Linked DNA regions of Schizosaccharomyces pombe. Changing the gene in region 1 together with any one later gene gives a genetic interaction. Each region holds a gene or a part of one and is shown in the gene's direction. Other genes may lie near its edges. The genes, in order: pho4 and asp1.

Region 1 (4,286 bases):
GGCGAATTTTACCAACGATTACATTTGCTAATAAAATATGTTAAAATAAAAATTGGAAGATGAGTTGAAATAAACGGTTCTATAAACAAAACTCATTTAAAGAAAGAACTGGCAAACAGATTATGTCAACATATCTCATCTAATATCGAGACTACTGATAAAAAAATCTAATTTGCTAATGACTACAAGCTTTTATTGTTTACTCTTTGTTGCTTACAGTTCTAGTCAAAGGAGGTATTTTATTTTCGTATTTCGCTGTACATAGCATAATTTCATGAAATGCTTTTCTCTATAAATATGCTTTTATAAAGAACTAGTTAATAAAAAATTGCTTATTTCTAAGCTCTTTTAGGATTAGTAATATATAAAAAGGAAGATAAGTATTTTTATCCCTTTTTAACTGGATTGTTATTACTATAAAAGAAAGACTCTTACGGTTGATAATAAAAGCGTAGAGATCAGAAGATAAAAGTAGAATTCACCGCCTATATTTCCTTTGGAATAAATATCCAACAGTATACTTACTATTATAGAGAGAAAATTAATTTCCCTTTGCCCTTTATCATATAAAATGGTTCTTTTTATGCTGAGTGCCTAGCATAATTCCTTCCTTTTCGAAATATCAAAAGGCTTGTGAGACTTCAATTGGTAAATGCTTTAAAGTGAGTTATTACTAGCTCGCTTCAACCACTTCAGCTTGATTCTCCAATAACCGAGTTTTCAAAAGTACTCATTCTTGCAATTGCTATAAAATTTTTATCTTTATTTATACCATTACCATTGTAATATTGTTATAAGGCATCGCTTTACTTACTGAACATAAAAAAAATCTTCATCATAAAATTAATTAAATGTCAGAATAGAAAAAAGTGTTTAGAGGGTCCAACCGTACAAACAAACAACTTTTACGTTTTTAACATTTTCATTTCTTCAATAACCCCACAGTTGTTTTAAGCTATTACTTAAGCGAGGGCTGCACATGACAATGTGGCTAGTATACCCTTTATATACATTTTGAATATGCATATGAAACCCATTATATTAACGCTGGAATAGCGGGAATGCTTGTTTATTATATTAATTTATTCTATTGGAATGAATAAATCTTTTTTCTGGACATTTAAGAACGGCATGAAACAAGTAGCTCTAATAAATTAAATTGTTGGATCTTACTAAAGACTAAATATTAATAATAATTTTCTCCCAAGCTATTTATATACATATTAGAAGCAATTTGCAAAGATAGCAGACTAATACTCTTCAATGCCCAACTTCTTATTAGTGATATACATGTAAAAATATCTTTATTATGCAATATTATGTAGCAGCTCGTACAATGTTTGCACATCTTTACACAATAGTATTCATTTTGTATTACATTATCATTTATAATTCCATTTCACAGAGAGTAGGCATTGCTATTATATAATATAAATTTATATAAAACAAAAAGACTGCAAAATCATTTCCAACTGAAACTTCGTTCTTTAGTTCTATTAAATTATTAAGTATTGGAATATCAGATTTTTGTAAGTTCAGTAATAATAATATCATTATATTACACCGTTGTATTATTAATCGCATAATATTACTGTAACACTTTGTCCGTAATTTGCATCGTTATTTCAGTTAACAATTGTGGGTCCAAAATCTTAAAGTCTAATAGCGAACTACACCAGGTTTGCAACTTCATTCATTTTTTTTAATTCCAATGTAGTCGTGCCGAAATCAGACTTTGGTTTGGTGGTAGCCGGGGTGCTTAGTGTTAGCAGATATCCGGATTGATTGTATATAAATATCTGCTGCTTCTTGCGCTTAGAATAGTCATCTTTTGACTGTTTATTTTAGACTTTTCCTACTTCAAATAATCAAAGTTCGTTGATTGAATAGACTACCGTTCGTTTCAACCCGCTTTTAAATATTCGATCGTTATTTTTTTTGCTATTGAATCGCTGGTCGTTGGTTGATTCATACACAGTAAATTTCTTTCTTGTGGTTTTATTGGGTCTGCTTGGGTTACATAAATTCATTGTTTTTTCTCGATGAAGTTAAGTGGTATTTCTCTATGGCTTTTGGCCGCATCCATCGTTCATGCTGGTAAATCTCAATTTGAGGCATTTGAAAATGAGTTTTATTTCAAGGACCATCTTGGAACGATTAGTGTATATCATGAACCCTACTTTAATGGGCCCACTACCTCCTTCCCCGAATCTTGTGCAATTAAACAGGTTCATTTGCTTCAGCGTCATGGATCTCGAAACCCGACTGGGGATGACACTGCCACTGATGTCTCTAGTGCGCAATATATAGATATTTTTCAAAACAAGCTTCTAAATGGCTCAATTCCGGTAAATTTTAGCTATCCTGAAAATCCTCTTTACTTCGTTAAACATTGGACTCCTGTGATAAAGGCTGAAAATGCCGACCAGTTGTCCAGCAGCGGTCGAATTGAACTTTTTGACTTGGGCCGTCAAGTTTTTGAGCGCTACTATGAGCTTTTCGACACTGATGTCTACGATATCAATACTGCTGCTCAAGAACGTGTTGTCGACTCTGCAGAATGGTTTAGTTATGGAATGTTTGGCGATGATATGCAGAACAAAACCAACTTCATCGTTCTTCCGGAAGACGATTCTGCGGGTGCAAACTCCTTAGCTATGTATTACTCTTGTCCCGTTTATGAAGACAACAATATTGATGAAAACACTACTGAAGCCGCCCATACTAGTTGGCGTAATGTTTTTCTCAAGCCTATCGCCAATCGCTTAAACAAATACTTTGATAGCGGTTATAATCTTACGGTTTCGGATGTTCGCAGTCTTTACTATATTTGTGTATACGAGATCGCTCTCAGAGATAACAGCGATTTCTGTTCACTCTTTACTCCCTCTGAATTTTTGAATTTTGAATATGACAGTGACCTTGACTACGCATATTGGGGTGGTCCCGCTTCAGAATGGGCTTCCACATTAGGTGGGGCTTATGTTAATAACCTTGCAAATAATCTTCGTAAGGGTGTGAATAATGCTTCCGATCGTAAGGTATTCTTAGCGTTTACCCACGACTCTCAAATTATTCCAGTCGAGGCTGCTCTTGGGTTTTTCCCCGACATTACTCCTGAGCACCCTCTACCGACTGACAAAAACATTTTTACATACTCATTAAAAACCTCTTCGTTCGTTCCCTTCGCAGGAAACTTAATTACTGAACTTTTCTTATGTTCTGATAATAAATACTATGTACGCCATCTCGTCAACCAGCAAGTATACCCCCTTACTGATTGCGGTTATGGTCCTAGTGGTGCTTCAGATGGGTTATGCGAGTTGAGCGCTTACTTGAATTCTTCGGTTCGTGTTAATTCTACCTCTAATGGTATTGCTAATTTTAACTCGCAATGTCAGGCGCATTCCACCAACGTTACCGTCTACTACTAGACTTAGCATCTTATATTATTGTTAACACAATTGGGTCCTTAGGAATAATATAGATAATTTTTAACTATAGTAATAGCTTATGTATAAGACTTAGGTATTAAGGAGGAAAAGTAGAGCGAACAGAAAGTGAGCATTTATATATTCAAGAAAGACTTACGAGACATAGTATAAACGAGTTGTGTCAGTGTTTGAACAAAAAAGGAAATACTTATAGTTTTAAATGCCTAGTACGAAATCTATAACCTTCACTCGTACCGCCTTTAGGTGAAGCTAATTCTTCAATTCGACTTACTTCAAAGCCTTTCAAGTGACTCCGTAGCTTTTGTAATTCCTTTCCAAATCATTAATATTAATAGGTCGGGATAAATCTTAAACATTTCTCAAGATATAACGCGTACATTAACGATTCCTTTTGGCGTCAACAACTCACCTTTTACCACACACGAACGACACAAAAGTTTAATAGAATTCATTTAAAATATTTGAAAGTCATGTAATTTGCCAAAAAAAAAATCCCTAGTCCTCCTTTTCCATTACACGGATAAAAGAATCAATCAATCCCTTTTTTTAAACCCTTTAATATCTGTAGCTCTATAAATCAAAATGAACATTGCCATGAGATGTTCCAAATGATAAAACTAAGGCTTCGCGTAAGAAGGTGCTTCTTCTGACAATTTTCTTATTTTTTAAGATACTATCCAAAATCACCGATTTCAAACATTTTCGCGAAAAACCAGCTATCCGGAATTACCAAAGCATTAAATCTTCAATAATTAAACATGGTAATCACACCAAACAGCGCATTTTCAAACTCATCTGATTACCGCATGTGTAAGAATCTATATTCTTTGC
Region 2 (5,676 bases), on another chromosome or scaffold:
GAAGTGCACACTTTTCCCATAAAACTTAACAAATGAAGGTGGCTCGTAATGACCATTACGAGAACGTAGGATTCTAGGAGCACCATCCATTGAATCAAAGATCCATTCTTTAAGAGAGTTATCTGGACCAGCAGTTACTAATATGGGCTGCCCGTTAAGAAACTGTATCTTTGGAAGTGACCCAAAATGAGCATTATATGTAACATTTTGAATTCTTCGCTTTGAAAGATCCCAAAAAGAAAGGTCACCAATGGGGTTGGAAGAAGCTAATATTGGTGTCCCATCAGTACGGAATGAACATGAAAGAACTTGGCCATCTTGTTTGAATTCCATGAGTATTGAACCATTTTTAAGATTAAAGATTACAATACGACCACTAATAGTACCAACAGCTAAAACATCGAGGACAGGGGCTTGTGTTAAACTAGTGATTCCATCACCAAAAAATTCCTGAAATTCATGTACACGTTTAGAAACACGCAAATTCCAAATCTGTAATGCTCCATCTGAGAATCCTAGCAGTATTTTGTTCAAATAAGTGCTTGGATGTAGTAAACTAGTGATATCTGCATTGGTATTAGGAAGAAATGTAGTATGAAGCTCAGGAACACTATATTTAGAAGCGTGTTTCCATACATAAACATGACGAGAAGATGTACAAGCAATAATCCACTCACCAAAAGCATCTAAATGAGTGACTGTTCCATGTTCTTGCTCCACATCAATGTCCCATATTATTTTACCACGTTTATATGCAAAAATTTTTGATCCGGCAGCTACAAGCATGAAATCTTTAAAGGATTTTAAACAAGTAATTTCCTTGTCTAATTGCTTGCCAACGAAAAGCAAATTCAACTTTTCGCAGTCATATGTTTGAAATGTGTTTCCCACCGACGTTGTTACCAAAAAATGGGTTCCACGAGCCTCAATGTCGAAAGGTACTGCATTGGAAACGTGACCGATGGATCTAAAGGCTAAAAATACAGTTAGCAATCTGTTCATTCCAAAAGAAAAAGAGAGAATTTTGACTTACGAGCATAGATCCTAGATTTTCTTAGAGGCTTCACCGCATTTTCATAAGTCCTCCGTTTCTTCTCTGCAAATGGCATTTTATCACAGGAAAGAACACAAATAGCACGTAAAATGGCAAAGGATGGCTCTTGTCCTGTAACTTGCAAAAAGCAGTGTTTGTGAAATTCTAGCAACCCTTTACGACCTACAGTAATAATCGTTAATTTACGACAGTGTATTTACTGAAATCGATAAATGTGTTTAACGATATGGTCAATCCGTCATATATCAATTTTCGGTAATTATAAATAAGAATCGTTCTGCTATTGTTCCGTTTATTTAAGTAAACAAATTATTTATTATTAAAAAAAAAAGAGAACTAAACATTGATGTCTAATGTTATTGTAAGATTTAATCGTAAAAACATGTTAGCAAAACTTCTACATTCTCTTCAGAATACCTAAAGAACTCTATTCACATATATCAAAAAGTGGTAAGGTAAATCTATGATTGTTGGAATTCTGGGCTTGTAAATAATGAAATAAATTTCAGTAAATTCTTAAAAAATATTTTTCTTTATGTAAAAGGTGCGAGAACAATATACTCTTGAACCCAGCTAGTAGAAGTAATTTTTTAATGTTTGTTGCTTGTAAAATTTAAACATTCCAGTCCACGTGTTTTCGCACGGACGAAAAGTAAAAACCTATTAAACAAAAATTTTTTCTAATTCTTTTTTAATTTAATATTGATGGATTTTACAAGCTTTTACTAAACTGGAAGAATACGTTTTTGAAAGAAGAATAACAGAAACTGGGCTTGGTTAAAAAAATTTTTATGAAAACCCAAATTAACTAACCCAGTATAATTAGTAAAAAAGTTATTCATAGAAGCATTACTGCGAAACAAATTCAATATTCACTGTCCACTTCATTTAAGCAACAATTTCTTATTTATTTACATTTCGTTAGGTAAACAAATGTTACCTCGCTGAATTGTAAGGTTAACCGTACAAGTAACATTGATCGACTAGGTGTGTACTAACACCGTGTACCTACATCTCTCATAACCAAACAAGTGAGGGAATTGGCCATTGAAAGAATACAAGTGGGAAAAAGGTGTTTTAAGCGTTATTAAATATTTTAACGTAGTTGAATAATAAAGGATGATTCAAAATGCAAGTCATCTTACATCTATCGACACAGAGTCATCTACCAGAACGGCGTCGCCTGTTTCCTCAATCGTTACACCTACTAAACGAAATGTAGTTGGAATCTGTGCCATGGATGCCAAAGCTCGCTCAAAACCATGTCGGAATATTCTGAACAGAATCATCGCAGAAGGTGAGTTTGAAGCCATAGTATTCGGTGACAACATGATTTTGGACGAAGCTGTGGAAAATTGGCCTGCTTGTGATTATTTGATATGTTTCTACTCTAGTGGATTTCCATTGAAGAAAGCTGAAAAGTATGTCGAGTTGCGTAAACCTTTTTGTGTAAACGATGTAGTATTCCAAGAGTTGCTTTGGGATAGACGGCTTGTGTTGAACATCCTTGATGCCATACGTGTTTCCACCCCTCAGCGTTTGATTTGCTCTCGTGATGGAGGTCCTAAAATTAATAAAGTCCTAGAAGAAAAGTTGCGTCGAAAGTTTGGAATAGAAATCACAGAGGTTCCTACCCCAGAAGTAAAAATGTTGGACGAAGATACTCTTTCTGTTGATGGCAAGATAATAAAGAAGCCGTACGTTGAAAAACCAGTCTATGGTGAAGATCACAATATTTATATTTATTTCCCTAAATCCGTTGGTGGGGGAGGTCGCAAATTATTTCGTAAAGTCGCAAATAAGTCTTCAGATTATGATCCAGATCTTTGTGCTCCACGCACTGAAGGATCTTTTATTTACGAGGAATTCATGAATGTCGATAACGCGGAAGACGTAAAGGTTTATACCGTGGGTCCTCATTACAGCCATGCAGAAACCCGCAAATCACCCGTAGTGGACGGAATTGTGAGAAGGAATCCACATGGTAAGGAAATTAGGTTTATCACCAATCTTTCAGAGGAAGAAAAAAATATGGCCTCTAAGATATCAATTGCGTTTGAGCAACCTGTTTGTGGATTTGATCTTCTTCGTGTCTCAGGTCAGTCGTATGTGATTGATGTGAATGGATGGTCCTTCGTCAAGGATAACAACGATTATTATGATAATGCTGCTCGAATTTTGAAACAAATGTTTCATGTTGCCGAACGTCATAGACGGAATCGTGTACCTTCAGTCCAAGAAGTTTTAAATCCTCCGCCTAGAGAAAGTGAGGCATGGAGACTTAAAAGTTTGGTCGGAGTCCTGCGTCACGCGGATCGTACACCTAAACAAAAGTTTAAGTTTTCATTTACATCTGATCCATTTGTAAAATTATTGCAAGGTCATACCGAGGAAGTTATTTTAAGAAACGAACAACTCAATTCTGTTTTGGCAGCTACCAACCTTGCTACAGAACTCAAATGCGAAGATATCAACAAGTTAAAACAGTTACGCTTAGCTTTGGAAACGAAGAAAGACTTACCGGGGACAAAAGTGCAACTTAAACCGGCTTATTCCCCAGAGGGAAAGCTTTTGAAACTGCAGCTAATTATCAAATGGGGTGGTGAATTTACTCATTCCGCGAGATACCAATCTAAGGATTTAGGAGAGCAGTTTCATAAGGACCTGTATATTATGAATCGTGATTGCCTGAAAGATGTCGAAATATACACATCTTCTGAAAGACGTGTCTCTGCTTCTGCTGAAATTTTTGCAATGGCCTTTTTGGAGCAAGAAACTATTCCTAGCGACTTACTCAAAGTTCGCAAAGATCTGTTAGATGATTCTAATGCTGCCAAGGATACTATGGATAAGGTTAAGAAACACTTGAAATCATTATTAAGAGTTGGAGATACGGCTAGAAAGGAGTTTACTTGGCCAGAAAACATGCCCAAGCCTTGTGAAGTAATGCAACAAGTTGTTCAACTCATGAAATATCATCGCGCAGTAATGAGAGAGAATTTTATTATTTTGGGACCTGAGGTTGAGCAAGTTCAATCGCGTTGGTGTTGTAATGAAAATCCTGCGCTCTTTAGGGAAAGGTGGGAGAAGTTGTTTAGCGAATTTTGTGACTCTGAGAAAGCAGACCCATCCAAGGTTTCTGAACTATACGATACATTGAAGTATGATGCTCTTCACAATCGGCAATTTTTGGAACGCATATTTACTCCCTATCAGTATCTCAAATTGCCTCAGAGTCCAAGCTTGATTGCCAAAGAGCCTCCCCAAAGAACCGATAGCAATGGCAATCTTGTTGGGATGACCGGTGCAAATACTAATCACACTGAAAGGCCGTTGGAAAAGTTGTATGAGCTATACGATTTAGCAAAAGTATTATTTGATTTTGTTTCTCCTCAAGAATATGGTATAGAACCGAAAGAAAAGTTAGAAATTGGTTTATTAACAAGTGTACCGTTGCTTCGTCAAATCATACATGACATTAAAGAGGCACGAGATTCTGATCATGCTTCAACAAGAATGTACTTTACTAAAGAGTCTCATATCTATACCTTGCTTAATTGTATACTTGAATCAGGACTACCTATGAAATTACCTAGAAATCAAATTCCCGAATTAGATTATCTCACTCAAATATGCTTTGAGTTATTCGAGAGGACTAATCCTTCAGGAAATAAGGAATTTTCTGTTCGTATCACACTCTCACCAGGTTGTTATGCCCAATGTCCATTGGATATGAATCTTGATGCTAAACACTGTATTAGCGTTTCACCTCGCAGGTCGCTTACAAGACATTTAGACCTTCAGCAGTTTATAACGAAAACCGAGGACCTCTGCAACTCAGTTCATCTTCCCAAAAGGTTTATTCCTGTTAACATTAATTAACCGCTTTTACCCTTTTTACGAATGTTTTGATAACATAAACATTTTTTAAACGATATTTTATTAGTAATTGCACATAATTAAACCAAATTATTTATTAAACCTTGGTTAATAATTTTGTCTGAATAATTTGTTGTTCGGGTTGCAGTCACGGTGCCGCGGCAATTCCGAACGTTGATCGCAGTCCATGATTGCAATCGAAAACATCGTTAACCAACATCACCAATTTTTGTGAGTTCCATTTAACGTTGGATATCAAGCAAGATGTCGCTTACTCCGGATGAAAAATATGAGTTGATTACTCGTAATCTTCAAGAGGTGCTTGGCGCCAAAATGATTCGCGAAATTTTGAATGAACGCGATATCAGCTTGTACTGGGGCAGTGCACCTACTGGCCGTCCTCATTGTGGTTATTTTGTGCCAATGATGAAGTTGGCTGATTTTTTAAAGGCCGGTGTACATGTTACTGTTCTTTTAGCCGATGTCCATGCTTTTTTGGATAACATGAAGGCGCCGATGGAACTCGTTCAACACCGTGTTCGTTATTATGAAATTATTGTCAAATCTATTCTAAAATCGTTGAATATTCCCATTGAGAAGCTTCGTTTTGTCATTGGCTCCAGCTATCAGCTGAAGGAGGATTATACCCTTGATAACTTTCGACTTGCTGCATCTACGACAGAGCACACTGCTCGTCGTGCCGGTGCAGAAGTTGTCAAGCAGGTCGCTAGTCCTCTATTGTC

The links.
Region 2: of pho4 (region 1) and asp1, a mutation in one rescues a mutant of the other (synthetic rescue), as found in Schizosaccharomyces pombe (one study listed by BioGRID).

Annotation. Positions count from the first base shown.
Region 1 is NC_003423.3:444,565-448,850, reverse strand, and holds pho4 (thiamine-repressible acid phosphatase Pho4), read left to right. Parts: upstream 1-1,822; 5' UTR 1,823-2,042; coding exon 2,043-3,434; 3' UTR 3,435-3,527; downstream 3,528-4,286. UniProt on the Schizosaccharomyces pombe protein: May dephosphorylate thiamine phosphates.
Region 2 is NC_003421.2:570,970-576,645, reverse strand, and holds asp1 (inositol hexakisphosphate kinase/inositol pyrophosphate synthase), read left to right. Parts: upstream 1-2,073; 5' UTR 2,074-2,173; coding exon 2,174-4,936; 3' UTR 4,937-5,176; downstream 5,177-5,676. Other genes in the region: U3 snoRNP-associated protein Utp21, read right to left, coding at 1-974, 1,034-1,109; tyrosine--tRNA (Tyr) ligase Yrs1, read left to right, coding at 5,198-5,676.